Oryctolagus cuniculus: one gene and its partners. The protein of the gene in region 3 purifies or fractionates together with the protein of the main gene of each other region. This does not show direct contact. Links are inferred from orthologs where the notes say so. Each region holds a gene or a part of one and is shown on either strand. Other genes may lie near its edges. The genes, in order: MED13, CCNC, MED9, CDK8, POLR2B, MED31 and MED13L.

The links.
Region 1: the proteins of MED9 (region 3) and MED13 purify together in Homo sapiens (affinity purification with mass spectrometry; 6 studies listed by BioGRID and IntAct, with this or other methods). This does not show direct contact. The link is inferred for Oryctolagus cuniculus from reciprocal best matches to the Homo sapiens genes MED9 and MED13.
Region 2: the proteins of MED9 (region 3) and CCNC purify together in Homo sapiens (affinity purification with mass spectrometry; 4 studies listed by BioGRID and IntAct, counting the BioPlex papers as one, with this or other methods). This does not show direct contact. The link is inferred for Oryctolagus cuniculus from reciprocal best matches to the Homo sapiens genes MED9 and CCNC.
Region 4: the proteins of MED9 (region 3) and CDK8 purify together in Homo sapiens (affinity purification with mass spectrometry; 10 studies listed by BioGRID and IntAct, counting the BioPlex papers as one, with this or other methods). This does not show direct contact. The link is inferred for Oryctolagus cuniculus from reciprocal best matches to the Homo sapiens genes MED9 and CDK8.
Region 5: the proteins of MED9 (region 3) and POLR2B purify together in Homo sapiens (affinity purification with mass spectrometry; 4 studies listed by BioGRID and IntAct, with this or other methods). This does not show direct contact. The link is inferred for Oryctolagus cuniculus from reciprocal best matches to the Homo sapiens genes MED9 and POLR2B.
Region 6: the proteins of MED9 (region 3) and MED31 purify together in Homo sapiens (affinity purification with mass spectrometry; 4 studies listed by BioGRID and IntAct, with this or other methods). This does not show direct contact. The link is inferred for Oryctolagus cuniculus from reciprocal best matches to the Homo sapiens genes MED9 and MED31.
Region 7: the proteins of MED9 (region 3) and MED13L purify together in Homo sapiens (affinity purification with mass spectrometry; 5 studies listed by BioGRID and IntAct, with this or other methods). This does not show direct contact. The link is inferred for Oryctolagus cuniculus from reciprocal best matches to the Homo sapiens genes MED9 and MED13L.

The regions. Positions count from the first base shown.
Region 1 is NC_091448.1:35,500,617-35,504,116, forward strand, and holds part of MED13 (mediator of RNA polymerase II transcription subunit 13), read left to right. Parts: intron 1-641; coding exon 642-1,098; intron 1,099-2,916; coding exon 2,917-3,136; intron 3,137-3,500. UniProt on the Homo sapiens protein: Component of the Mediator complex, a coactivator involved in the regulated transcription of nearly all RNA polymerase II-dependent genes.
Region 2 is NC_091436.1:72,185,563-72,189,062, reverse strand, and holds part of CCNC (cyclin-C), read right to left. Parts: intron 1,845-3,500; coding exon 1,726-1,844; intron 1-1,725. UniProt on the Homo sapiens protein: Component of the Mediator complex, a coactivator involved in regulated gene transcription of nearly all RNA polymerase II-dependent genes.
Region 3 is NC_091448.1:66,357,103-66,361,266, reverse strand, and holds the start of MED9 (mediator of RNA polymerase II transcription subunit 9), read right to left. Parts: upstream 2,801-4,164; 5' UTR 2,710-2,800; coding exon 2,483-2,709; intron 1-2,482.
Region 4 is NC_091440.1:96,689,384-96,692,883, reverse strand, and holds part of CDK8 (cyclin-dependent kinase 8), read right to left. Parts: intron 2,531-3,500; coding exon 2,461-2,530; intron 1,721-2,460; coding exon 1,648-1,720; intron 1-1,647.
Region 5 is NC_091439.1:107,684,745-107,688,951, forward strand, and holds the start of POLR2B (DNA-directed RNA polymerase II subunit RPB2), read right to left. Parts: upstream 2,801-4,207; 5' UTR 2,630-2,800; coding exon 2,611-2,629; intron 2,224-2,610; exon of another isoform or gene 2,025-2,223; intron 1-2,024. Other genes in the region: NOA1 (nitric oxide-associated protein 1), read left to right, coding at 3,499-4,207. UniProt on the Homo sapiens protein: Catalytic core component of RNA polymerase II (Pol II), a DNA-dependent RNA polymerase which synthesizes mRNA precursors and many functional non-coding RNAs using the four ribonucleoside triphosphates as substrates.
Region 6 is NC_091448.1:49,926,708-49,930,767, reverse strand, and holds the start of MED31 (mediator of RNA polymerase II transcription subunit 31), read right to left. Parts: upstream 2,801-4,060; 5' UTR 2,572-2,800; coding exon 2,544-2,571; intron 1,543-2,543; coding exon 1,465-1,542; intron 1,250-1,464; coding exon 1,153-1,249; intron 1-1,152. UniProt on the Homo sapiens protein: Component of the Mediator complex, a coactivator involved in the regulated transcription of nearly all RNA polymerase II-dependent genes.
Region 7 is NC_091452.1:12,779,944-12,784,073, forward strand, and holds the start of MED13L (mediator of RNA polymerase II transcription subunit 13-like), read right to left. Parts: upstream 2,801-4,130; 5' UTR 2,740-2,800; coding exon 2,668-2,739; intron 1-2,667. UniProt on the Homo sapiens protein: Component of the Mediator complex, a coactivator involved in the regulated transcription of nearly all RNA polymerase II-dependent genes.

The DNA of each region.
Region 1 (3,500 bases), about 31 Mb from region 3:
TAGGATCTAATGTTTTAAGTTATAGAATTCTTGATTTGCTAATAGTTTTAGAAATAAAATAATTTGTAGCTAACCTCTGTAACACCAAGACATAGTTTTCTTGTGTGTGTGTAGCTAAGAAAATGACCAAGTACTTTAGACTTGCTTATAATATCATTGAGCGTCCTTTAGACTTAATCCACAGAGATGCAGAACCAAATTAATTCAGAGGCATTTGGCATTCCAATAATTTGAACCTTATGATAACATTCTACCATTTTACCATTTTGGGTTTTAATTAGCTATTGGTGTAGAAAATATTTTTTCAACTTGTGGTTTAGGAGCCTTTTTAATGATTTGATGGGAATTTGCTACATAATATTTATTGCATTTAATTAGTTGCATCTAGAAAATGTAATTTTATTTTATTTCATGGTAATCATTTATTTAATTTGCATGAAAAAGCTGGTTTACTTTTACAATTCCGTTTTCAATTTCTAGGTGAAAATAAGCTAGTTGATACTAAATTGTTAGCAGGCAGTTTAGGGAGAGTAATTACCAAGAAAGTATAAATTAGATTATTATTTTATTCATAAAGAATTTGAAAAAGAACTAACCAGTGAAATAAAGAATTTAAATACCCTTCCTGTTTTTATCTTTAGGTCCTTATCTTGCTTCGCAGCCACTGGACAGCTCTCTGCTTTCCCAGCCAAATTTAGTTACCCCTCCAAGTCAGTCTTTGATTACACCATCTCAGATGGCAAGTACTGGAAATACTAATACTCCATCAGCCACCCTAGCATCTGCAGCAAGCAGCACTATGACTGTGACTTCAGGGGTTGCACTGCCTACTTCGGTTGCAACAGCTAATTCGACTTTGACCACAACTTCATCTTCTTCATCCTCCAGTTTGAATAGTGGAGCATCATCAAATAAACTACCTTCATTTCCACCCTTTGGCAGTATGAGCAGTAGTGCTACAGGGTCCATGTCTGCACAAGCAAGTGCAGTTCAGAATGGCCAGCTAGGGGGGCAGCAGTCATCAACTCTACAGACAGCTGGGATTTCTGGAGAGTCATCTTCGCTTCCTACTCAGCCACATCCTGATGTGTCTGAAAGGTATCTTTAAAAACACTGATTTTTGCACAAATATAAAAACTATGATTCTTAATTTTTTCTAAATATGAGTTATGAGCATTTTCAGTATCTGCTAAATGGGGTGTAATGTGATATAATATGCATACATTGTGCTTTATGTAATGCTTCCAAGTTTTGTTTTCCTTTTTTTAAAGGTTTATTTATTTGTAAGTCAGAGTTACACAGAGAGAGAAGGAGAGGCAGAGAGAGAGAGAGAGAGAGAGAGAGAGAGAGAGGGAGGTCGTCCATCTGCTGGTTTACTCCCCAACTGGCTACAACGGCCAGAGCTGCGCCAATCCAAAGCTAGGAGCCAGGAACACTTCTGGCTCACCCATGTGGGTGCAGGGGCCCAAGAATTTGGGCCGTCTTCTACTGCTTTCCCAGACCATAGCAGAGAGCTGGATTGGAAGTGGAGGAGCTGGGACTTGAACTGGCCCATATGGGAGGCTGGCACTGGAGGCGGCAGCTTGACCCACTACACCAAAGCCCTGGCCCCTCCAAGTTTTTTTTATAATGACCATAGTGATGACATTTCTCATTCCCTTTTTTTAAAAAGATTGATTTGTTTATTTGAAAGGCAGAGTTAGAAGGGGAGACAGAGCTCCTCTGTCTGCTTGTTCACGCCCCGTATGGCTGCAATGTCCAGGGCTTAGCCACGCTGAAGCCAGGAGCCTGAACTCCATCTTGGTCTTCCTCATGGTAGGAGCCCAAGTACTTGAGTCATCTTTTGCTGCATTTCCAGGCATATCACCAGGAAGCTGGATCAGAAGTAGAGCAACGGACTCAAACCAGTGCTCATATGGGATACTGGCATCACATGTGGCAATTTAACCTTGACGCTACAACACCGGCCCCTCTCAGTCCTTTTATGATGAAAGTATTGAGTGAACTTCCCTTTTAGTTTATAAATTTGGTTAGGCTGAGCATTGTTAAACCTGTCATCTATCCAGGATACAGTTGTTCGCAGAGTTATACTCATATACATCGATAAAAAAGCAGACTATTCCCTATATTAATCCAGCCATCTTAAACATCTAAACAGATTCGAAGTTTAAAAAAAATTAGCCATCAAATAATGTAACTGGTTTACCATTGAAATTACGAAGTATGAAATGTAGTAGAACATTGAATAGATCTGGGAATCTGGTTTTCTTTCTTTCTTTCTTCCTTCCTTTCTTTCTTTCTTCTCTTCCCCCCCCCCTTTTTTTTTTTTTTTTTGAAGATTTATTTGAAAGAGTTAGAGAGAGGGAAAGATAGATCTCCCATCCATTGATTTACTCCCTGGATGGCCATAACGGTCAGGGATGAGCCAGGCTGAAGCTGGGAGCCAGGAGCTTTATCCAGGTCTCCTACATGGGTGGCAGGGGCCTAAGCGGTTGGGCCATCTTCTGCTGTCTTCCCAGGTCACCAGTAGGGAACTGGAGAGGAAGTGCAGCATCTGGGACTCACCTGGCACCCATATAGGATGCTGGCGCTCCAGGTGGTAGCGTTACCTGTAGAACTTGGTTTCTTTCTGATCTTGATTTAGCCAATTTTGTGATTTGGGGCTGCTACTGAGATAGGTCTTAGACAGAGGACCAGTTTTATCCTTTATGCACTAAACTCTCATTTCAGATATACTGCAGTTTTAAGAATTTTATTTCTATTTTCTTCTTATGCTAGTACGTATGTATGTATGTATGGTTCACTGATACTTCCCACCAAAAACAAAAAAAGGGATGGGGGATCAAGAGCCTGCTTTTGAATGCACTCCCAGCAATACAGTACAAGTTTTTGTCTTACTTCTACTTCATATTTTAGCACGATGGATCGAGATAAAGTGGGAATCCCCACAGATGGTGATTCACATGCAATTACCTATCCACCTGCAATTGTTGTTTATATAATCGATCCTTTTACCTATGAAAATAAAGATGAAGGCACTAACTCTTCTAATGTGTGGACTTTGGGACTACTTCGATGCTTCTTGGAAATGGTCCAAACTCTTCCTCCACATATTAAGAGTACTGTTTCTGTACAGGTAAGATTGATAAATATTGTGAGTTAAATATTTGTAAAACAGTTTGCTGTTTGAAAGATACTATTTTTCTGTTTTCAAATTGGTGTTCTGAAAGCCAAGTTCTATTATTGATTTAACTTTAAGTGATATAGATGTTAGCTATGTTGTAATAACATACCTGATGTAAAATATAAAATTCTTGATGATATGATATGTTGTAAAACATGAATTTTACAATCATACCACAATAATAATGAGAAGTAAAAATTGCATATAGTATATAGTATGTTAAATACTGGTCCTGTGTTAACCTTTTAATCCAGTGTTTAAATTCATAAGCCTAAGCAGGTAAACGTAGCATGGACCTGTATAAACTGGAGTTCTA
Region 2 (3,500 bases), on a different chromosome or scaffold from region 3:
TGTTACATTACCACCTGAAGAATGGGTGCTCTTTGAAAACTGTTCTAATATCAGGAAATAAAAAGTCAGTAGGAACCTTATCACTGTAAGGTGGATGCCTATGATTTCCCTCCAAAAGGCCCTTGTTTGGTGAGAAGAATGAGCAAGAACATTGTTATAATGGGAAAAGACTGATTAAAGACTCCTACTAAAGCTTTGGCTAATTTTTTCAAAACACTCTTATAATGAGGAGATGTTATCATTCTTTGACCTTCTAGAAAGTCAACAAGCAAAAAACTATGGTTATGACCTTTGTTCTTGACTTGGTCACTTTTGCTTTGACTGAACCACTTCTACTCTACCTCTTGGTAGCCATTATTCTTTGTTTTCAGGGTCATACTGTATATATATATGTTTCACTTCCTGTTATAGTTCTTCAAATAAATGCCTTGAGATCTTGATCCTATTTTTTAAAAATTCCCATTAAAAGCTCTGCTTTAGTCTGCAGCTGATCCAGGCAGAACAGTTTTGGTACCTCTTGAGCACAAAATTTGCTCGACATTAATTTTTCAGTAAGAATTGTGTAAGCTAAGCCAACTGAGGTGTCTGGAGTGGTGGCTATTGTTTCTATTGTTAACTGTTGGTCCAATTCAATTAGGGCACAATGTGATTAATTTTCTTCTTGTACATGGATATAAATGATCTGCCATCACTGTGCGCTTCATCTTCAAGTTTCATCCCTTATTAAAATAAGTTATACATTTGTACACTGCTTACTTCTTTGAGGCACTAACCCCATAAAATTCTCATAAGGTTTCAATGATTTCACCATTCCTCCACCCAAGCTTTACTATCAATTTGATGTTTTTTTCTTGCTTCAATTGTAGAATTCATGTTGTTCTAATAGGGGCTCTTTTCAAATTGGTGTCTTATCCTTCTTAGTATCTCAAATAAGATCCTGTTCAAACTTGTAATAAGTTAGTATAAGTTTATTTTGGTGCAAAAAATTTTGCATAATTTTTTATAATATGCACTTTCCATGAACTTTTTGAAGATCCCTCCTATATGACTTAGTTAATTTTCCAGAAAAATGATTAAGATGGGTAGCATTTCCTTATTTTCCACCTGACCTGTTTTCCCTACCTCAAATGATCTGATTTATGGTGAAGGCTGAGAACCACTGAAGTAAATGAACAAATCTTATTTAAAACAATAACCAAAAAAAAAAAAAAAATTCTTAGCACAGGTGTTCCACTTTACAGAAAATTATGGTACAGTGTCTATGGATCTTAGTGTTACTCAAAAACCAAAATTCTTTCCAATATCAGATCATTCAATGAGATTTTTAAAAGCCATTATGATGATTTATAAAACAGGGTAATAGCTAGTAATGGTAAGTGGGCGGTGCAGGAAGATAGCACAAGATAATTGAAATGAAACTGCTCCATAACTATCCCTGAATTTCATATGAACTTGCCTAATTCTGTTCCATTTAAACTTATATATAGTATGTGGCCATATGTTGAGGGATACCTGTAATAGACCTCCATCGTGTTAGATAAAGTTACTAACAGATGATCAATTTAATGTATTTTTACAAGATATTTTCAATCAAGTCACAAATTTAAAAAATTTGCATGAATCATGAAGTTTCTGTAGAAATTTTAAGATACAAAACAACATAATCAAAGAAAAATATGAGTATGATATGTGATTAAATGAAACTAATAAAAGTTTACAAAGTACCTGTTTGGAGGTGGTTTTGGTTTCGGCATCTTACTAAGAATTGTTGCCATCTCTTTCCTCTCATCAAAATTCTTCCACTGTTCATATAATTTTAAAATAACCCTGATAATTTCCAAAATCTAGAAGAAAGTATTTGAAAAATTCTCAGTGGTAAAAACAACCAATATTTCGTATACAAAGAACAAACACCACATTCTAGACATCCTTAAAAACCAGAAAAAGGGGCTGGCGCCGCGGCTCACTAGGCTAATCTTCCGCCTTGCAGCAACGGCACACCAGGTTCTAGTCCTGGTCGGGGCGCCGGATTCTGTCCCGGTTGCTCCTCTTCCAGGCCAGCTCTCTGCTATGGCCTGGGAGTGCAGTGGAGGATGGCCCAAGTACTTGGGCCCTGCACCCCATGAGAGACCAGGAGAAGCACCTGGCTCCTGGCTTCAGATCAGCGCGGTGCGCCGGCCACGGCGGCCATTGGAGGGTGAACCAACAGCAAAGGAAGACCTTTCTCTCTCTCTCTCTCTCTCTCTCTCTCACTGTCCACTCTGCCTGTCCAAAAAACAAACAAACAAACAAAAACAAAAAAACAAAACAAAACAAAAACAACAACAAAAAAAACACACCCAGAAAAAGGACATGAGGTATCTGTCCTTAACTACTCAGGTTAGATTAGATAATCTTGATAAACATGAAAGCAGTAGTTTTCACTATGTTACTACCTAGGCTTTTCCTCCTAGCCTTTCATCTTTCTGCATGTATAAAAAGTTCATGTGTGGATTTCAAAATTTCTTCTGTACCTAAATACCTTACCTTTAAACTCCATTTTTAAAAAAATATTTTTTTATTTACTTGAAAGACAGAGACAGGTCCCATCTAATGGTTCACTCCTCAGCTGCCTGCAATGGCTGGGGCTGAATCAAGCTGAAGTAGGGAGATAAGAACTCAATCCTGATCTTCCATGGGAAGGCAGGAACTCAATTACTTGAACCACCACTGCTGCCTCCCATGGTCTGCATTAGTAGGAAGCTGGAGTTAGGAGCCAGAGCCAAGAAATAAACTCAAGCATTCCAATGTGGAACACAGCATCTTAACTGCTAGGATAAATGCCCATTCCCTAATTCCACTTTTCTGTGAACTCTTGGAAGTATCTTGTCTGCCTTATCTATCACTATAGTTGGATTCCTTCTATCAGCTGACATCTTAGCCTGGGAAAGCAGTAGAAGATGGCTCAAGTCCTTGGGTCCCTGCACCCATGTGGGAGACCCAGAAGAAGGTCCTGACGCCAGGCTTTGGACTGGCTCAGCTCCAACTGTTGCAGCCATTTAGGGAATAAACCAGTGGATGGAAGACCACTCTCTGCCTGTCCCTCTGTAACTCTGCCTTTCAAATAAATAAATTTTAAATAAATAAATAAATAAAGGTTCTAATCATGAAGGAATTACCACTATACACCATATTCCTCTAAGAACAATTTTAGCAATTTAATGGGAGGTAGTATGTTGTATTAACTCTCTGTTAAGTATTCTTTATCTAAGTTAATGTGTTCAAAAACTGGGAGCTACAAATCTGTCATATATAGTTTTCCAATGAGCTCTTTCTTCTCCACCAAAGTAGATGTAATGGATTAATTTTAATGTTTTCAAAATTTGAGTAGAAAAGATAGAAAATAGGGTAGAAACCACACTGCCAGGAAACAGACTTCTAACAATAGTATTTAGTGATCACTAGGTAGCTTTTAATACAATCCTAGATGTTAGAGGCTATGTCGCAACGAATTAACAAAA
Region 3 (4,164 bases):
CTCTGTCTCTTCTTCTCACTGTAACTCCTTTTTTAAAAAAATTTTTTAAGATTTATTCATTAATTAAAGTCAAACTTAGAGAGGAGAGACAGAGCGAGAGATCTTGCACCCGCTGGTTCAGTCCCCAAACAGCCATAACAGCTAGGGCTGGGGCAGGTGAAAGCCAGGAGCTTCTTCTGGGTCTCCCACACGGGTAGCAGAGTCCAAACACTTGAGCCATCTTCTGCTGCCTTTCCCAGGCCATTAGCAGGGAGCTGGATTCGAAGTGGAGCAGCCAGGACTCGACCCGGTGCCTATATGGGAAGGCAGCACCGCAGGTAACATCGGACCCTGTAACTCTTTCCAAATAAATACATCTTTAAAAGAAAAAAAAAGTCCACGTTGTCAGCAGCGACTCCATCTCAGCACAGCATCGGCAAGCCCATCAACCTTCAACCTGAACGCCCCCGCAATGGTGGTGGTGTCAAGTTTAGCTTGCTTTGGTTTTAAATGGTTGAGCTCGAGTGGCAAGCCTGGGGGTTTACATCTAGCACTGAGTCGTGAGTCAGCCAACAACAGACTACACACACGACGAATGGTGGCATGAGATTAAAACGGGGCTGAAAACAACCTTGTTCGTGGTGACTCCGACGGAAAGAAACCGACTGCACTGCCAGTTCTCATACAGGGAACTTCAGAAAGTTACTGCGGGGCCGGCGCTATGGCGTAGTGGGTAAAGCCACCGCCTGCAGTACCGACATTTCATATGGGTGCTGGTTCTAGTCCCGGCTGCTCCACTTCCGATCCAGCTCTCTGCCATGGCCTGGGAAAGCAGTAGAAGATGGCCCAGGTCCTTGGCCCCCTGCCTGCTTGGGAGACCCAGAAGAAGCTCCTGGCTTCTGGCTTCAGATCGGCACAGCTCCGGCTGTTGCAGCCATTTGGGGAGTGAACCATTGGGTGGAAGCTCTCTCTCTCTCTCTCTCTGCCTCTCTGTAATTCTGCCTTTCAAATGAATTAAAAAAAAAAAAGTTACTGGAAAAATGGAACTAAAATTTTGGTTCAGGGGCCAGCATTGTGGCACAAGCCGTTGATGCTGGCATCCCACATGAGGACCTACTCAAGTCCCCGCTGCTCCATTTCCAATTCAGTTCCCTGATAATGCGCCTGGGAAAGCAGCCGGGATGGCCCAAGTGCTTGGGGCCCCTGTCGCCCACGTGGGAGACCCGGATGGGGTTCCAGGCTCCTGGCTTCAGCCTGGCCCAGGCCGGCCGTTGTGGCCATTTGGGCAGTGAACCAACAGATGGAAGATCTCTCTCTCTCTCTGCCTCCCTATCACTTTGCCTTTCAAATAAGTAAAACCAATCCCTGAAAAATAAAATGAAACCCATACACATCTTTCCATAATACGCACTTTTCCGTGAACTTTCAAAACAATCCTCGTATTGGCTGTCCTATACCTCTCACTGCTGTTTCAGAACGTACTCCTCCTACTTCCACGAAAGGCCAAACACCACGCATGTCCCGTTGGGACGTGTCTGCCTGCAGCAAGCGGCCGATGCCTCGGCTGCACCTCCTCACTCTCCCAGGCACCACTCCGTGACGTCAGCGCCAGCGGCGTACTCACTCAGGCAAGCGTGGAACGGGGGGGACTTTGGTTTCTTGTCTGTTTTTGTTTTTTCCTTTCCAGAGCCTGTCTGTCCGAAAGCTTGGGCTCCCCTGAGGGCTGGCCAACAGCACGGCCATATCCTTTCAAGGTAGGCTGGGATCAAGTTAGTCCAGGCCCGGTGGAGGCGATTTCTGTGTCTCTGCAGGCCATCTCAGCCCTGCAGGCTCAATCTGTATGAATTATGGGTAACATAATTATGGGTAACAGAGAGAGATCTTCTATCTACTGGTTCACTCCCTAAATAGCCCGAACAAAGCCAGGAGCCAGGAGCTTCTTCCAGGTCTCCCGCGTGGGTGCAGGGGCCCAAGGACTTGGGCCATCATCCACTGCTTTCCCAGGCCACAGCAGAGAGCTGGACCAGAAGTGGAGCAGCCGGGACTCGAACTGGAGACATTCGGGATGCTGGCGCTACAGGCGACGGCTTTACCTGCTACGCCACAAGGCCGGCCCGCAGTCGGCCCCTTTTACCGTGCGCACCCCGTAACGCCTAGCAGAACGCTATGCAGTCCCGACGATGTTTCTCTGCGGGATGTGCTGAAGACGAGGAGAAAACCAGAGCGCGTCTTAACCCTACGGAGCCTCAGGGACGCTGCCCAGGCTCCCGAGGCCCCCGGCCACCTGTGCCGGCCAGCTCGGAGCAAGTGTCCCCCGCATAGAGCACGGCGCCCCCCGGCGCCCCCATGCGCCCGGACAGGCGCCGCGAGCTCTCGGGAGAGGCCCCTGCCCACCCCCTGGCCTCGGCCTGCCCGCCCGAGAAATGGGGACGCACCCTTGCAGCCTCCTAGCGCCAGCGCCAGCGGCGGCGGCGGGGCCCCCTCTTCCGGGGCCCTTCCTTACCATTTGATGATGTTGTGAACCAACGGCAGGAAGGAGTAGTTCTCCTCCTCCTTCATGCTGGCGGGGCTCTGGGGCCGGGGCGCCGGCGACTGCTGCGGCTGGGGCGCGGCCACCGGTGGCGGCAGCTGCGGCGGCGGCAACGGCTTGGTCTCGGTCAGCGGCGGGTCGGCCGGTGGCGGTAACGCATCCTCGGCCTGTCGCCCAGCGGCCACCCCGGCCGAGGCCATGGCCCCGGGGCTCGGTCCAGCGAGCCAACTCCCCCACTTCACCGGCTCGGCTCGCCGGGAGCGTCGCGGACTCTACACGTCACTGCTGAGCGCCTCGCAGGGGCGGGGCCGGACGCACGGATCTGAGCATGCGCACTGAGCAGGGGGCGGGGTAAAAGCGCAGGCGTGAGGGGAGGAGGCTGTTGCTAGGCGACATGCGGTGGGCGGGCTGGTGTAGGCTGGATTTGGTTGCGAGTCTAGTTAAGTAAATTAGTCAGAAACAGGCGATTTAGCTCAAGTGACCTCAACGGCCAGGGCTGGGCCAGGGCCAACCCAGGAGCCAGGAGCTTCGTTCAGGGTTTTCACGCGGGTGCAGGGGCCCAAGTACTTGGGCCATCTGCTGCTGCTTTTCCCAGGCCTTTAGCAGAGAGCTGGGTGGGAAGTGGAGCAGCCGAGTCTCAGACTGGCGCCCATATGGGATGCCGGCGCTGCAGGCCGCGACTTAACCCACAGCACCATGGCTTCGACCCGCTATTTTATTTTTTTAAAACAACTGTTCAACATTTTTAAATTTATTTTTATTTGAAAGGCAAAGTGATAGACACGCGGAAATCTTTTCTCGGATACTTCTCTCTCCCAATGCCTCCAACAACTGTGGCTGGGCCAGGCTGAAGCCAGGAGCTAGGTACTCCATCCAGGACTCCCACGTGGGTGGCAGGGGCCCAAGCACCTGGGCCATCATCTGCTGCCTCCCAGGCTCATTAGCAGGGAGCTGGGCAGAGCAGCCGGGACCTGAAACAATTCTCTAGTGTGGGGGGCAGGTGTCCCGCAGAGAGCTGGATGGGACGCAGAGCAGCCGGGACCTGAAACAACTCTCTAGTGTGGGTGGCAGGTGTCCCAAGCTCTGGCCTAACCCACAGCGCTAGGACGCCAACTCCAAAGCATCCCCATTTTAAAGACAAAGTAACTGAGACTTAACAATGGGTGTGGGTCTAGGGTCACCCAGTTTGCCTAACGCCAAACCTATGGTCTCAGCCAGGTTCCTCAGGCTTCTGCTAGTTTTGTAACTTTATGATTCAAAATGTTAACGTGGCTTTCTATTCAGAATTTGAGAAGCAATCTAATAGTCATCAATAATATCCCCATGGCAACGTGCGTCATTTTTTTTCCCCTCCCAGCGTGTTTGATCACAAGCCCCGAATTTGTCATTGGCATCATAATGAGAACGTCCTTTAAAAAGAAAAAAAAAATCAGGTATAAATAGATATGGCTAAAAAACAAACAAAAAAACCCACAAATTGAAAATGTTAGATGCATGAGCAAATACTGGGTATTGACAATTTGCCCTATAAATAGTTCATATAATTAGTGACAAAGAGTAAAGTTTTGTAATGCTGCAAGCATATGTCAGAAAAATCCTGCCTGGGCTGCTTTCAGGAAGCCCAACATTGCCACAAAAATACGCATCTGTTTAAT
Region 4 (3,500 bases), on a different chromosome or scaffold from region 3:
ATTTAAAGTACCCAATAATTTTAATGGATTGCAATAGAGTTTCAGATGGGACCATTCAAGATTATCAACAGTTAAGATAGGTCATGCCAGGATTAATAAGCAAAACAGTTAAAGCAATAAGGTATACCTCTAGATTTTCAGTGGTGATGGTTTTGAGTCATTTCAGACTTTAATGAGTAGTAGGGAATTAGGGAAAAGTCAGAGAAATTCCTCTATGTCATGACTTTTAGTCTACCACCACTATCATCATTTTGTTAGAATTAAAAAGTCTGATTTTGAAGGATCTAACTTAGCCTTCCAATTGTCTTGTCTTAAGTACATCAGAATAAATGATTTGAATAGTACAATGTGTGGTAATATGACAGTTTAAGCATTGCTTTTCAAATTACTAATAAGGTATGAAATATATGATATAAAATATGACATGATAAAATAAGTTCTAAAATCAGAAGTAGAGGAAGACAATAAAACAGAAGCAGAAATACAAGAAATGCTTGCCAAGCGACCTGGTTGCAATAAAGGAAACATTTCATGTTTTCAAGATAAAGGAATTTCCATTTAAAAATACTTGAGGGGCAGGCATTTTGCCTAGCATTCAGATTCCCACACCCCATATCAGAACACCTAGGTTCAATGCCTGCCTCCAGACCCTGACCTTAGTTGCCAGCTAATGCAGGCCCTAGGAAGCAGCAGCAAGGGTTCCAGTAACTGGGTCTCTGCCACCCACATGGGAGACTACGTTGAGTTTCCAGCTCCTGGCTCCAGCCCAGCCCAGTCCCCGGCTGTTGCAGGCATTTGGGGGAGTGAATTAATGGATAGGAGTTCTCTCTTGAAATCTCTACACTGTCTGCCCCCTCCCACATGCCCCTACAAAAAACAAAACAAAACAAAACAAAACAAAAAAAAAACAGGAAAAAGGATTAAAAAAATTTCAAGCCAAGCAAAATATAACTTGCTTCTACAAATTCCCCTCATTATGTTATAAAAGTTTAAAAACATAAAAGTGAAAAACATCTTGGTGACAAAATTTTACTGCAAACAAACTGAATTTGTCAATCACTGAATATGATCTCATCACAAATTACTTTGCTAGTGTTCAGATTCATACACATTCTAGGTCAAACTACCTTTCCATTACACATAGAGAAATACTGCATCTCTCACACTCTTCCAGAAAAAGCATGTAATACATATCATCCCTGAGGCATATCTAATGCACAGGTTTATAAAAGTATCACGGAGTTAAAAATTCTGTAAACATTCTTTCAAGAGTTGAAATACCAAATAGTTTGCAGAAATTATTTCAGAAGGTGGAACTGTTTTTTTTTATACATCCCTGAGATTTTTGAAATTTAAAAATAACAGATGAAAAACACTAAATACAACTTTTAGTGCTCTTCACAGAATTGTCATAATTACTACCTTTAGAAAATCTAATATGACAAAACATTAGTCTGTCAGGTCATAATACAGGTTTGGAAAAGCAAATTTTTTTTGATGTCTTTACTAACACAAGATCTTTGCATTTATGATTAAAGTACTCCAGGAGTACTAATCAACCATATAAACTGACCCAAAAAAGTCTCAGGTGGTGGTAGTCAATTGGGGAAAAAATGAATTTCATTAGCATTGTTATTTAAAGCTTACCAAGTGGAATGCTTTACTATCTGGTTTAACTTTATGCTTTTCCATATACTTGATAAGGCTGCAGTTGGTATACCTGAAAGAGAAATACTATGAAATATCTGTATTAGATGTGAGGTTAATTTTACATTGGCTCAAGTCCTTCCAAAGAGAATTACTTTGATCATAACTGATCAGCATAAAAAAAGCATTAAATCAATTTTATAACTCATTCAATACCCATACTAGTCACTTTTTGAATGGATGCCAATGATTAAATGCAAGATAATTCCATGAATAATATATACTGAGTAGCTGTTTTCACATGAATCACATCTTAATTATTTTAGACAACATCTGGGTCAAAAGTTTAACTCAGCCTTACCAGTAACTTTAAAATACCTTTGCTGTAGGTTTACAAACCAAGCTGTCCCAACCATTGGCCTTGCTTTGTAAATAACTGAAATAATAATTCTTCTGTATTAAAACTTGCTTAAAATGACTATACAACCTAGGTGAGTAACTGCTAAGGTTTATTTTAGTTCCTTACTTCTTTAGCTGTGATATTTTTCACTAATATCTAGCTTCCAGAAAGTAGTAAATATCGGAAAGAAAAGAACTGACTTCTCCCTCTGTATCTAAATTGGCTCTATTAGTCATTTTTTCATATAATTTTTAATCATCTTATGAAGACTGCTATGAAAAATATTTACTAGAGTAAATAAATTAAGTTACTTATTGAAGTAATGTTATGTTGAGTATGTTGAGTGTTCTATCTTAAACTGAGTATTCTGGAGAAGCAAAAACCAACAAATGTCTATTTTCTTTCCAACTTACGTATTTCTTCTGAAATCTTTCATTAATGTTGAATGTTCGGGCATCTTTTTTATATCTTCCCAATCTTTATCTGTGAAACACATTGATAAATTTTTATGTTGCCTAGGTTCCTATTCTTTAGAATTTCAATATAGATTACCTCCATTTTCACTATATTTCCAGTTCTTTTAGCCTCTCTGGAAGCTCAGAGTTCAAATAAATGTTCAGCTACAATAAACATCTTGAACTGTAAATACAATTCCTCATCCGCTCAAATAGCTTTTATATCTGTTCATCTTTTAAATTTTTAAATTGTTTGCTTTCCATATGATTTATTGTTAAGTTGCCTCAATTACTATAACTAGGAAGGAATATTATAAGTATTTCTATTTATTATTAAAAAGTTCTATTTCTATTAGTATAATAATTTATTTTTTCCTTTTCCACCACACTTCTTGGCAAATCAGCAATTTCCTTATTTACATCAGCAATCAATATAGCCAGTAATAACTGTTTGCAGTAGAACTGGGTGTAGGATGGAAATAGTAATATTAATAATCGGCTGGTATCTTGGTTTTTTTTATTAACATTACCCGACACTAAATAAAAACTCCTAGCTACTAAATAATTTTTGGGGTGTTAAGTAAAACAAAAGTTGTTAAATAAATTTTAAGAACAAAATGTTTCAGCCAGGTTTGCTGGCCTTAAGAGTTGCTCCAACAACTCATGTCAGATCACCTGCTTTCTCCATCAATACCAAAGACTTTTAATGAAAGCCCACTAGGCAAGCAGCACTGTGACAAGCACCTTTCACTTTTAATTGGCCTTTCATGGTTTGCTTTTCTTTGAAGTCACTGGTAAAAATATTTGCTAACTGTCCTCCATAGACATCACATAATGTAAACTAAATGTCTACTTAAATTCCTAAATGGAATTTCCTCCTTACTTTTTCCTTGCCCCGATTTCTCTATTTTGTCAATTCCTCAAAGTAGAAATCTTGAGATTATCCTTCCCAGTGACACAAAGCTGTGTCCTCCATTCTCCTTCCGTGCTCTTTCTGC
Region 5 (4,207 bases), on a different chromosome or scaffold from region 3:
TCTTTTTTAAAAATTATATATTGTATACTACATAAAGAACTCAACGAGGGGCAGGTGTGTGGCCTGGGGTAAGATGCTGGTTAGAACACCTGCATCCTACATCAGAGTACCTGGGCTCAGTCCCTGGCCCTGACCCCTAACTCCAGCTTCCTACTAATGCACATCCTGGAAGGCAGCAGTGATGGCTCAACTGACTGAGTTAATGTCACTCATGTAGAAAGTCTATCACTGGGCCGGCGCCGCCGTGGCTCACTAGGCTAATCCTCCGCCTTGCGGCGCCGGCACACCGGGTTCTAGTCCTGGTCGGGGCGCCGGATTCTGTCCCAGTTGCCCCTCCTCCAGACCAGCTCTCTGCTGTGGCCAGGGAGTGCAGTGGAGGATGGCCCAAGTCCTTGGGCCCTGCACCCCATGGGAGACCAGGAGAAGCACCTGGCTCCTGCCATTGGATCAGCGCGGTGCGCCGGCCGCAGCGCGCCAGCCGCGGCAGCCATTGGAGGGTGAACCATCGGCAAAAGGTAGACCTTTCTCTCTGTCTCTCTCACGGTCCACTCTGCCTGTTAAAAAAAAAAAAAAAATTAAATAAACAGGACAGAGGATCTGATAGGTTCTAAGCATAAGGACATGGAAATGCTAACTGCTTGACTATCAGTTTACACTACATATATGTGTTGAAACACTGCTTGGCACTGCACACAATGTACAAATATTATGTGTTAATCAAAATACTTTTAAATAAAAATACATGACGCCCAGGTTTCTGGTTCCCACAAAAGAGAAGGGTGGTACCATGCTCTAAGACAGACAACCCAGAAGCCGATGGCTTTGGAAGTGCAGATGATGATGGGAGCGGGGGTGCATAAAAAACATGGTGAGCTCAGCCTGGGCAGTGACAATTTACAGAAGCCCAGAGACACTTCAGTTAGAGACGCAGGACATCTGAGCTGGGAATGTGTGCGTATGTATTGAGACGTCATCCACATACACAGTAACTGAAGCCACGGAAAACGCGAACAGCAGGAGTGAATGAGAAGGGACAAAGTCTGATAGGTGTAAGAATCAAGTGACGGTGCTAAGGCTGAGGAGATGGGCTGCCAAAAGGAACTCACCCATGATGCTAAATACCGCAGGGCCTGCCTGAGGCTTACACAGTGCTACCGGCTGTATCAGTGGGAAGGGCATCTTAATGAAGCAGCACTGAGATCAGATTAGAATGTGCTGAAAACCTGAGAGGCCACAAACTCTTCTGAGAACCCCGGTCGCCCATGGAAGGAGAAAGGTCAGATATTCCCAGGAAAGAAACAACTGAGCAGAGTTTAACTTCTTTGCAGGTGCCAAGAGAGATCTGACACTTTCACATGGCAACATCCGAAAGGAGCAGCCTAATTGATGAGGGCGTATCTAACAGACTTCAGAACAGGCAGGAATGGAACATGGACCACTCTTCTCTTCCACAGGTACTTTATACGTTGCTAATGAGAATGTAAATTCGCAGTTAATAGCACAGTGGTCACTTGGCACCATCCTGCAAAATGTTAAATGAATATACCGTTTGACCTGACAATTCTCTATTTAGCGATTTTTTTTTTAATATTTTTTATTTACTTAAAAGGCAGTTCCAGAAAGAGAAAGGGCTTCCATCCGCTGGTTCACTCCCCCAATGGCTGCAGCAGCCGGAGCTGGGCAGGCCCGGGGCCAGGAGCCTCTTACGGGTCTCCCGCGCGGATGCAGGAGCCCAGGCACTGGGCCGTCCTCCACTGCCCTCCCAGGAAAAGACGAGAATGATGCAAATGCCCATCCCTAAGAGACTGGCTGAGTCGCACTACATCTAAACAAGCGAGCAGTGACGATGGACTCCACACACTGGCAGGAAAGCCCACTACATAATACTATGTAAGAAATAGAAATACAGGAGAGCACGAATGGTGCTTTTTGTCTGAAAATCGGGGAACCACACAATCCCATTTACGCTCACTCACACGTACGTAAAGAAACCTTGGAGCAGGAGAATCTGTACCAGCAGCTACCTGCGTGGACGCGGTTCAAACCGGACAGCTGGTGGGTCCGATGAGCCCCGGCGCTGAGACGCTAAGCCTGCGCTTCTGCTTCCTCCGAGAGGCAGCGGAGGCGAGCGGGTGGGATGCCAGGGGGGCTACGGGACTGGGAGCCAGAACACCTCTCTGGCGGCCGCGCGTCCCTCTGGGGCGCAGTCAGTTCCAAGGACACCTTCGAGACAATTCCCCGAGGTTTAGGACTGCACGGAGGAGGGCCACCCGCGGCCGCCGTGCTCCCAGGGCCCAGCACACAACCTAACGGATGGCCAGCGCCACTCCGTCCATCGGTGGCCCGGGGACCCGAGGACCGTCGGGACGCCCCCGAGCCGGAACAACGCCATCTGCCTACGGTTCCGCACGCCACTCCACCACGGGACGAACACAGCCGGCCAGGAGCCTGCACGCGCGCATCCCCCGCGCCGCCACTTCCCGCACGCCCAGCTCGGACCGCGGCCCGGGGGTGGCGGGGGTACACCGCGGGGGTCTCCGGGCGGCGGACGCAAAGCCGTCCAGCTCCCCCATTTTCCCGCCGCGGAGTCTGCGTTGCATGGTCACCTACCCTCGTCCGCGTCGTACATGTTGGCAAACGGTCCAGGAGATCCTAACCCTCAAAAAGAAAAACCACTGAGACAGAAAACCGCGTAGCAGCCGCCACAGGGCCGCAGGCAGAGACGAAGCAACTTCCGGTTCCGGTGTTCCCACAATTCTCTGCGTCCCCGAAGGCCCGCCCCACCGTCGCCGAGGTGGGATCTGCGCCTGCGCCAGTTGAAGCATAGGGCGGGCTGGGCTCGGGGTCGCTCGGGCGCGGCTGAGCCGGGGCGCGACCAGTCCGAGGCGGAGGGGCGGCTCTACAGCTGCTTCACGTTGAACAAACCCCGCCTGAAAAAAATCCAAGTGAATTTGTTAGCGGTTCTGGCCGTGGCGTGAGCTCGCAGGTTTAAGGCTGTATTGTTTGCACTCCAAAGACCAGGAAGCCACAAAACTAAAAGGGATTAAGTGCGACTTGTGCTGGCCGTAGCGCCTTGAGAAAGCTTGAAGAAAGATTTATTTATTTATTTGAGAGGCAGATTTACAACGAGGCAGAGAGGTCCTCCGACCGCTAGTTCACTCCCCCAGGTGGCCGCAACAACCGCGGAGCTGAAGCCAGGAACTTCCTCCCGGTCCCCGACGTGGGTGCAGGGGCCTCAAGGACTTGGGCCATCTTCTGCTGCCTTCCCGAGGCCCCAGCAGAGAGCCGGGTTGCAAGTGCAGCAGCCGGGACTCGAACCTGTGCCCTCAAGGGAGGCTGATACCGCGGCTTTCCCGCTACGCTTTCATCGCGATAACTCGCGGGATCTCGAGGTGGAAGGAAGCCGCACCTCCGGGGTTTGGGGCAGAACGGGCGCCTGGGGCCCCACTGCGCGTGCTCGGTGGTGGCTCCGCCCCCTCGCGGCGGGCCGCGATCCCCATGCTGCCCGCACGCCTAGCGGGGAGGCTGCTGGGCCCCGTGGTGCGGTGGTCCGCGCCTGCGGTGCGGCTGCTGCGGACGGGATGCGCGGCCGCCGCCGCCTCCCAGCCCCCGTCGGGCCTGCGGCGGGCGCTCCCTCAAGGCCCCGCCGCGCCCGGGGACGACACCGAGGAGCGTTTCCTGTTCCCCGAGTACACCCCGGAGCCGGAGCCCCCGCCGACGCCTGAGGAGCTGCTGCGGGCGCTGCGGGAGCGGGAGCAGGAGCAGGAGGAGCAGGCGCGGCGCCGGGCGGAGCGGCGGCAGGCGCGGGCCAGCCTCCGCGCGCCCCCGGCCGCGGGCCGCCCGGACCCGGCGGTGCCGCCCAGCGGCCTGCCCTGCTCGGGCTGCGGGGCGGAGCTCCACTGCCGGGACCCCGGCGTGCCCGGCTACCTGCCCAGCGAGAAGTTCGCCCGCGCCGCGCAGGACGGCCAGCTGGCGCGCGCCGTGTGCCAGCGCTGCTGGCTGCTGGTGCACCACCGGCGCGCCCTGCGGCTGCGCGTGAGCCGCGCGCAGTACCTGCAGCAGGTGAGCGCGGCGCTGCGGCGGCCCGGGCCCGCGCTGGTGCTCTACCTGCTGGACCTGCTGGACCTGCCCGACCCGCTGCTGCGCCACCTCCCCGCGCTGGTGGGCCCCAAGCAGCTGATCGTGCTGGGGAACAAGGTGGACCTGC
Region 6 (4,060 bases), about 16 Mb from region 3:
GCTCAAGTATTTGAGTCCCTGCCACCATATGAGAGATGCAAGCTGAGTTCCTGATTCCCAGCTTCTGGCCTGGCGCAGCCATGGCTGCTGTGGGTATTTGGGGAGTGAACCAGCAGATGGGCGACTTCTTTCTCTCCCTCTGTCTGCCTTCCAAATAAAATAATTTTTCAAAAAATTTGAAAAGCTTCACCACTGCTTTCCAACCACCTGGCTAATACTAAGCAAAGTAGTAAGTGCAGCCTTCCGCATTGAAAGGGAATAGGTTTCTGGTCATAATATGCCCCTTGCAAATGTAATTGGCCTTCAAGTCAAAGTGTCTCTGGAACAACTTGAATGGCAAACACACATACACGTAGTTCAAAAAGTTTGTGGAAAAACCTGAATTAAAAGCTTATTTGGATATAAAAAGCTTGTAGTCTATACTTGGTTATTTCATATTACACAATTTTTCAAGAACTTCTGGAAATCCCTTACACATGGACTCCAAAAGTTTTTTGCACCAATACAAACTCGTCTTTTGGATCCATTTTCCATTTACTTTTTGAAGGACCGGCATGTGTACGGAAACAGTTGTGAGTGTGCAGTGTTTTTTAGTTATTGAATGCAAAGCATTTGGGCACAAAGATCGCTGCTGGAAGACACAGTGACATCCTCCACATCTTCCTCACAGGTACTTCTGTGTGATCTTTTATTATCAGTCAATGGCTATGTTGCTGCATGTGAGGACCAGAGTCCTTCAGACCAGAAACCCAGAGAAATGGGGAGACTGGTAGAGAGGAGGTCAAGAAGACTGGGCCAGATGCGGCCGGGCCGCAGACTTCACTGCCAGGAAGGGAGGGCCCCCCAGGTCTAAGGAACAGACAGCATGTTCTAAGCTACAGTTCCCAGGGACCACATCGGCTTCTGGGTAGAAAATCGCGTTGCTTTATTGGCTTTGGGTGAGGTAGTGAGGAAAGAGCAGAAAACAGAGCCAACAGTGAGTGATTTCTGCAGGAATCCAAATTAAGAGGTAGGCAGTGACAACCGAACGCGCAGAACGTGCAGATTCAACATACATTTTTACCAGTGTGAAACTAAGAAGTATTTACGTATCCACGTTTTGGGTTTTAGTAAAACATACATACACCGAGGATTACAAAAAATTAAACTTACTTTAGATACTTGGCATATTCTGGTTCTTTCCAGTACAGCAAGTACTTAAGATAATTAACAAACGCTTTGTCTTTGAAGTAACCTCTTTGAGCAAGAACTGAAAGGCATAAAAAAAAAAACAAAACCTAGGTCAGACGGATGCTTGGACTACCACCAGCCCACAAGTCCTAGTTTGCTCAGTTACAGCTACAGAATTGCTTTAAGTGCAATTCTATTCAATTGAGAATATATAAAAGTAGATACTATTAGGAAATGCAACTCTTGTCAAAAAATCATTAATAGCTATTCAATTTAATTAGGTGAACAACTTACAATTAAGGTAATTTGGGTTGGCTAAACACTGTACAAATTCCAACTCTAACTGAAACCGAAGTCGATTTCCAGCATCATCTAGGAGAGAAGACAGCAAAAATCATCCAAGACAAAGGTCGCTAAATACAACACCGATGGGTCGAAAGGAAACAGCAGCCAGGAAACCTGCGTAATGCTGAGCTACACTTCTGGGAGGCATAATTCCTTAGGAACCTAAGAAAAGGAGAACTCTGATTAAGGCAGCTAGAAACCCCTCTAACGTTGAAGAGAAGTCATCAGAGACAAGGGGAACACAGATGCGGCAGGAGACCTCCCTCGGTGGGTCACTGGAGCCATCTCAGCAGTGAGTGACCGGGTATGGGGTGACAGTCTACCTCCCTGTATTTTATTAATACACTGTAGCTACTGTCGATGGCGGTGAGGAGCTCCGAGTGCGAGCTAGGAGACTGCGGAGCGCCGGAAGACCCCGAATGGCAGCATCAGTGGCAGGATAACGCAAGTTGGTCCAGGGCGCCCCAAACTCATGCAAGCTCCCGCGGAAGCAGACCCAAGTGCTGTCTGGTGACACGACTGTCACTTTCAGCCCCTGTTTATGCTCCTGGTGGTCTTCCTACTTTTGACTGGCTCTATATTACGGTTCGTGGTGAAATAAGCCGTTATTATAGACTGTATCAAATTTATGCCTTGGCAACAAAAAAAATGAAAAGTAGGGGAGGGAACGCGAGTGGGGGGAGGAGGAGAGAGGGAAGTATGGGTCTCCTGGAACTGTACCTATGCAATCTGTTCTCTTTATACTAGTTTTTGTTTTTTTTTTAAAGAAAAGATTCCAGTGCTGTCCCTCAGTCTCACCCACGCTGGGACGAAGGTGGGGTCGCTGAGTGAACAGCAAGCGGGGAGAAAACATGTGCGAAGCCACCAAACTCTGAAAAAGGCAAAGCTGCCGGCACCTTCCCAGATGCTCCAAGAGCCCTCTCGCCTCCCGGGTCCCACTCCAAGCCCCTTCCGTTAGGCCTGAAGGAGGCCCCGGGCAGGCAGGAGAAGGGGTCCGGGCGGAGCGCACGGCTCAGAGCGCGACTCACCTGTCTCCATGGCGACGGCGGCGGCCATAACAAGGAACGACGCGAACTCTCACCAGCTCGGCAGAGACTCTGCCCAGTCTGGCTGGGGAAGTTCCGGAAGCCTCAGCACCCCGCTTCCGGCCCCGGGGCACTGTGGGATACGGGGGCGGGCCCAGCCGCGCTGGGAGGACAGCGGTTCCGCCCATCGCTGCTGGCTCCGCCCGCTCGGGCTCCTGAGCCGGGCGCTGCGGCCCGGGGAGCGCCGTATTTGGAGGTGTTTCACGTCAGCGTGTAGTGGCATTGCCGCCTAGGAGGCAGGTCGCTACTGTGACGTCATTTCTCACCTCGTGACGTAGCGTAGAGGTGTGCTGAGCGGTCCCCTCAACACCTATAGAATGGCCTCGGCCCTTGGGGGAAAGCCGTCCTCACCCCAGTGTGGACACCTCGCCTTCCAGGAAGCGGCGCCCTCGTGCCCTCCCGAGTGCTCAGGGCCTCGTCAAAGCGGCTGGAGGCGAGGCTGCCTACTGTGTCCAGCCGGGTCCCCCAGTCGCCTTTGGCTTCCTGGAGGCAGCCCACATGTCGGTGTGAGAAACAGCCCAGCCGCGGTTCCTGGGTTCCTGCGCGAGCCGCGCCCTGGGCCTCCCCACGCGTGACAAAGCCCGCACGCGGGGCTGACGGGCAAAGAGGCGGAGAGTGGTGGTATAGAGGGATGGACGGGGAAGGCCTTGCTGGTTAGGCCACAGTGGAGCTGAGACCTGTGTGGTGACACCGAGCGCCCCACCCCCACCCGGGGGTCTCAGCGGAGTGCACCCTAGGCCGGAGGAAGAGAAGTGCGAAGGGTGTGTGGGAGCAAGCTTGCAACGTTCCCCGAGAGAAGAAGGGAGAGCTGGGAGCTTCGTGTGTGAGAGGCAGAGAGGGGACGGCAACAGGCAGGACCAGTTTCTAGAGGGCCTTTGAGTCACCACGGGAACTCAGGTTCTAGTCTAACAGGAACACGCTGCATAGTTTTCGGCACAGGACTGACATGATGCAACCGCATTTTTAAAATACCTTCTGCCTTCCGTGTGGGCTGCAGAACAGTTGTTCTCATCCTGGAGGGGGGGGGGAGGATTTTGTCCCCCAGGGGATACTTGGCGATGTTTAAAGACGTTTGTGTTAGGTACAAGGAGTGCTGCTGGCAAGTCGTGGGTAGAGGCCAGGGATCCCAGCACCAAAACCACAGAATCACGGGGCCTAACGTGTCAGTGGTGCCCAGTTGGAGACGCGCTGCAGCTGGGAGAGGAGAGGCCTGGGAGAGGCTCCAGAGGAGGGTGGGAGGCCGTGCCCTCCCCTGGACAGTGTGTGTGTGTGTGTGGGGGGGGGGTGTCTGTTGCTTTTTGACCCTGCCTTGCAGTCAGTGATTTACCCAGCAGGACAAAGGGGTCTTCCAGCAGGCCAGCGATGGCCCAATTGTGTCTACTACTGGGAGCAGAACATCTGCCATTTCCAGTCCATACTCGGGCTCCTACATGTAAAGGCAGGGCAGTGAACCGGGCCAT
Region 7 (4,130 bases), on a different chromosome or scaffold from region 3:
TCAAAAGCAATCAAATAAAAAAGAAAACACTGGGCCCAACAATATATTCTCATATTTGCTCTTATTAAACACATGGACAGGTATGATCACATCTCCTTTGTAATTAACTGTACTATACAATGTATTTTAGGTAACATTTTTAATATCCCAGACTGTTGCTGTACATGATTTTCAAGAAAAATGCTCAATTTCGAACTAGAAAAATTTACAAGTCAGCAGCTTAATTCAGAATTTTTTTTTAAATTGCACATTATCCACCCTCCATGTATAAGGGAATGTAGGCACATTATAAAGTTCTTTTTAAAAAATCACGTTTAGCATTTCTGTGGTTCTGCATTTCAAAGTTACTACCCAAAGACAATTCTATTTTTAAAAAAGAATGCATTCAAGAAATAATTCCTTGGGTAAAGAAGTTTAAGGAAGAAAACCCAAAACACAAAACTTGAGTCAGTAGAAGTACAGAATCCCCTCCTAAAACACTCAGTTTCTCCACAAGAATCTCAAGCATCTTATCTCTGTAACATTATCATTCTTACTTACGCTCTATTAGAAAGTGAAAGAAATGATACACCTTAGAGACTGTACAAATCATACACTTTCATCTGTCTACAAAATCCAGTGCATGTAGAAATTAGCCACATACACACAAGCCATTACCAGTCAGCATGATACATGGTAATGTGGGCACTCTCTCCTCACTAATATCCGTCTACTTGGTTGTTTTAATTACCTGTAAAAGTGTCAATGTGGTCACCAGCCGCCAAACAAAAACCATTTTAAATGCCCCTTAATCAATACATTTGCTAATCTATGAAAGTCCCTCAACCTCATACCAAATGATAGATTGAGAGGAAGACAGAAGAGGAAAAGAGGCAAAGTGAGTTTTATTCCCACACACAAAAAGATCAAGGGAAAATTCTCACAGTGCTGAGAGAAGATTCACAGCTTGCAATTCAATGTTAAGATTAAATATCTGGATAAAAATGTTTGATGATAGAAAAAACTTAAGGTGATCCCACACCACAGTGGAAACAACACTATGTCATTCCATGTTTGTAGACAGAAAATCACATGTGATGTTTTTATCTGTATAAATACTGTAATGTATTTAATAAAATAATACTTCCACTTGAAAAGTTGGCAAGATTTTCTATTTCCCCACTATTCTCAAAGGGAAAAAAGCATCTATGCCACCCATAATTAAATGTAACTAATTACAATTTGAACACTAAATTATTTACCCAGCATAAACAAGGATTAAGAGGAAATAATGCTTCTATCTACAGCAGGGGTTACAGAAAATAATTTCCAAAATGCATGCTCTCCAAGAGTCCAGAGGCCCCCCCTCAAAAAAACAGGGTACACAACTTAAAATAAGTTTTTTTTTTTTAAGGTTAAATTAAATAAACCGTTCTGCCAATTTTCCAATTATATTCTACGCTTGAAACATAATTGCCTTACATCTGTTTACAAATCTTTGCTCAATATTTAAACAAATTCGTAGTCTCCCGGGCACATAGCTATACATACAGTAACTCATGCACAAAGCACACATTTAAAGACCACGCATTGCAATTATTAGTCTAAACACCAGGTTGAACAACGTGAATGTTTTCGGAGCTAGGTAATACGACCCAATAAAAAGCAAAGATGGCATTTACCACCAAATGTCACTGCCACCGCCAGGAAAGAGTTGCCGGAGCCCTATACATTTTTAATTTCGATGGATCCAGACGCCGTCGTCGGGTGCCGGGCTTCCGCGAGAACAATTGACACCCTAACTGCTTCAAGATTAAGGCAGGCGATGCAAATCCAGAGGAAAAGTTGTCAATTATCAGAGAGCGAGAGCGCGAGAGGCGAAGGCAGATAAAAGCGATGTTATCACACCGCCCAGCTTGTTGCTTTTGTGTGTGTGTGTGTGTGTGGATTTGTTGTCAGCAGAGAGAAAACAGTTTTTAGAAGACACAGGGGGAGAGGGAGGAGACGCTCTCTCCGCCCTCCGTCGGCTCGGGGGCCTGGCTCTCGGGGCTCCGGCGCGGGGAGCCCCGGGAGGCGGCCGGCAGGTCCGTGTTTACGAGCGCCGGAGCTCCGGGGGCGACGGTCCTTTAGCCACACAATCGCATTCAATCAACTGCTTTCGGGCGAAATTGCGGCTGTCATTATGGAATTTAAAAAAAAAAAAAAAATTCAAAAGGCAGGCGGGCGGCCGATCCGACAAGAGGGGCAAAGGCTGCTGCTGATGGCAGGCGCGGGGAGCACCAGGCAAAGCCTTCCACGTTTAGGAAGGAAGGGAGAGGAGAGGGAGAGGGGGAAAAAAAAAAAAAAAAAAAAAAAACGGGGAAGAGGGGAGGGGAAGGGGGGTGTGATTGCAACAGAGGGTGGGCGTTCGAAGTGCGACCCAGAATCCGCAGCTTGGAGACTTCCACATGCAAATTCCACGCCGAGCGCTGCGCTCACAAATGATTTTTAAAGAGCCAAATAAACACTGGATGGGATCCAAGGCGAGGGAGCGACGATCCAAAAGGGGGAGAATCAGCTAGAGGCGAACGGCGGGGAGAGGCGAGGGAGGGGCGAAGTCCCGGCGGCGGGAGGAGAAAGTTGGTCGGCGGCGGAGGTCGGAGACCCCCCCCCCCCGGCCTGCCCCCTCCCCACGGCCCGGCTACTCACCAGCGAGAAGAGGTTGGAGTGACAATCCTCCAGGCTCGCCCCGTTCGCCACCCAGTTCGCTGCCGCAGTCATGATCCTCCGCGAGCCCGGCCGCCAGAGCGGGGCATGTCGGAGCGAGGCGTCCGAGGCGAGGCCGGGCCGGGCGGCGGCGCCTCGCCGGGGAGCGCGGAGCGGCCGGGCCGCCGCCGCCGCCGGAGGAGGAGGAGGAGGAGGAGGAGGAGGAGGGCGGGAGGGCCGGCGGGCGGGCGGGAGGCGCCGCGGCGACGCCGCGCCGGGGGCGGCGGGCCCGGGCCGGCGGGGGGGTCCGCGGCGGCCGCGCGGCTCCTTCCTGCTCGGGCGGCGGCGGCGGCGGCGGCTGCGGCGGCGGCGGGGGGCGCTGTCCGCGCGGCCCGGCGCCCTCCCCGCCTCTCAGGGCCGCCGCTGCCTCCCGGGCCGGCGCTACGGGCCGGCCGCCGCCTCCGCCTTCCCTGATCCTCAGCCGCCGCCGCTGCCGCCGCCTTGTTTATCTCCAGCCACCGACTCCCCCTCGGGCCCCGCCGGCGCGTGAGGGGAGGCGAGCCCCGGAGCCGCCGCCGCCGCCGCCTCGGAGCCGCCGCCGCCGCGGAGCGCGAACTCGCGAAGGGGGGGGTGCGGACGAAGCCAGCGGGCGACCCCGGCAGCCGAGCGACGTCCCCTCCTTCCTCTTCCTCCCCCACCCCCCCCTCCTCCCCAGTCAGCCTCGCTTCTCCTCCCTCCCCGGGCTCGCTCGCTCTGACAGCAATGGCGGCCGCCGACCGCGGCTCGGCTCGCCATTGGCTGCCGCTGCGTCACGTGACGGGCGCCGGCCGCGCGGGGGGGCGGGGGGCGGGCGGGGGAGGGGCCCGGAGCGGCGGCGGCGGCGGCGGCGGCGGCGGCTCGCGGGAGGCGCTGCTGAGCCGAGAGCAGCCGCGTTCTCCGGCCGGGAAGAGGGAGGGAGCCGGAGAAGGAAAGAAAGAAGTGCAGGCGGCCGGCTCCCGTGGCGGGCGGCGGGCAGCCGACCCGAGGCTGCCGTGGGCGGCCGCGCGCTCTCGCGGGGCGCGGATCCTGGCGCGTTGGGGGCGCGATCGCCGGCCCCGAGCGGACCTGGTGTAGCTGCAGCCCCGCGGCCCTCGCCGGTGCTGCCGACCGCCCAGGCCAGCCGGTGTGACGAGGGCTCCCGTGGGCCGGGCAGAGGGTCCAAGTGCTTCGGAGTGTCCATCGAAGCCTCTACGCCTTTTGCCGAGGGGGAAGTCAAAGCACAGGGAGCTCAAGTCACTTGCCCGAGGTCTTGGGATTCGAACCCTTGCCACCAGCGTGCAGTGCAGCCAGGCTCGTACTGTACGCCAGGCCCTGTGCGTTCAATACAGACATGCTGGAGCGCGGGGATCCTAGTTCCTGTGTGCATTCATTCATTCATTGCATAAACGTCCCCTGAGCTCTTGCTCCATGCTGGGTCTGTTATAACT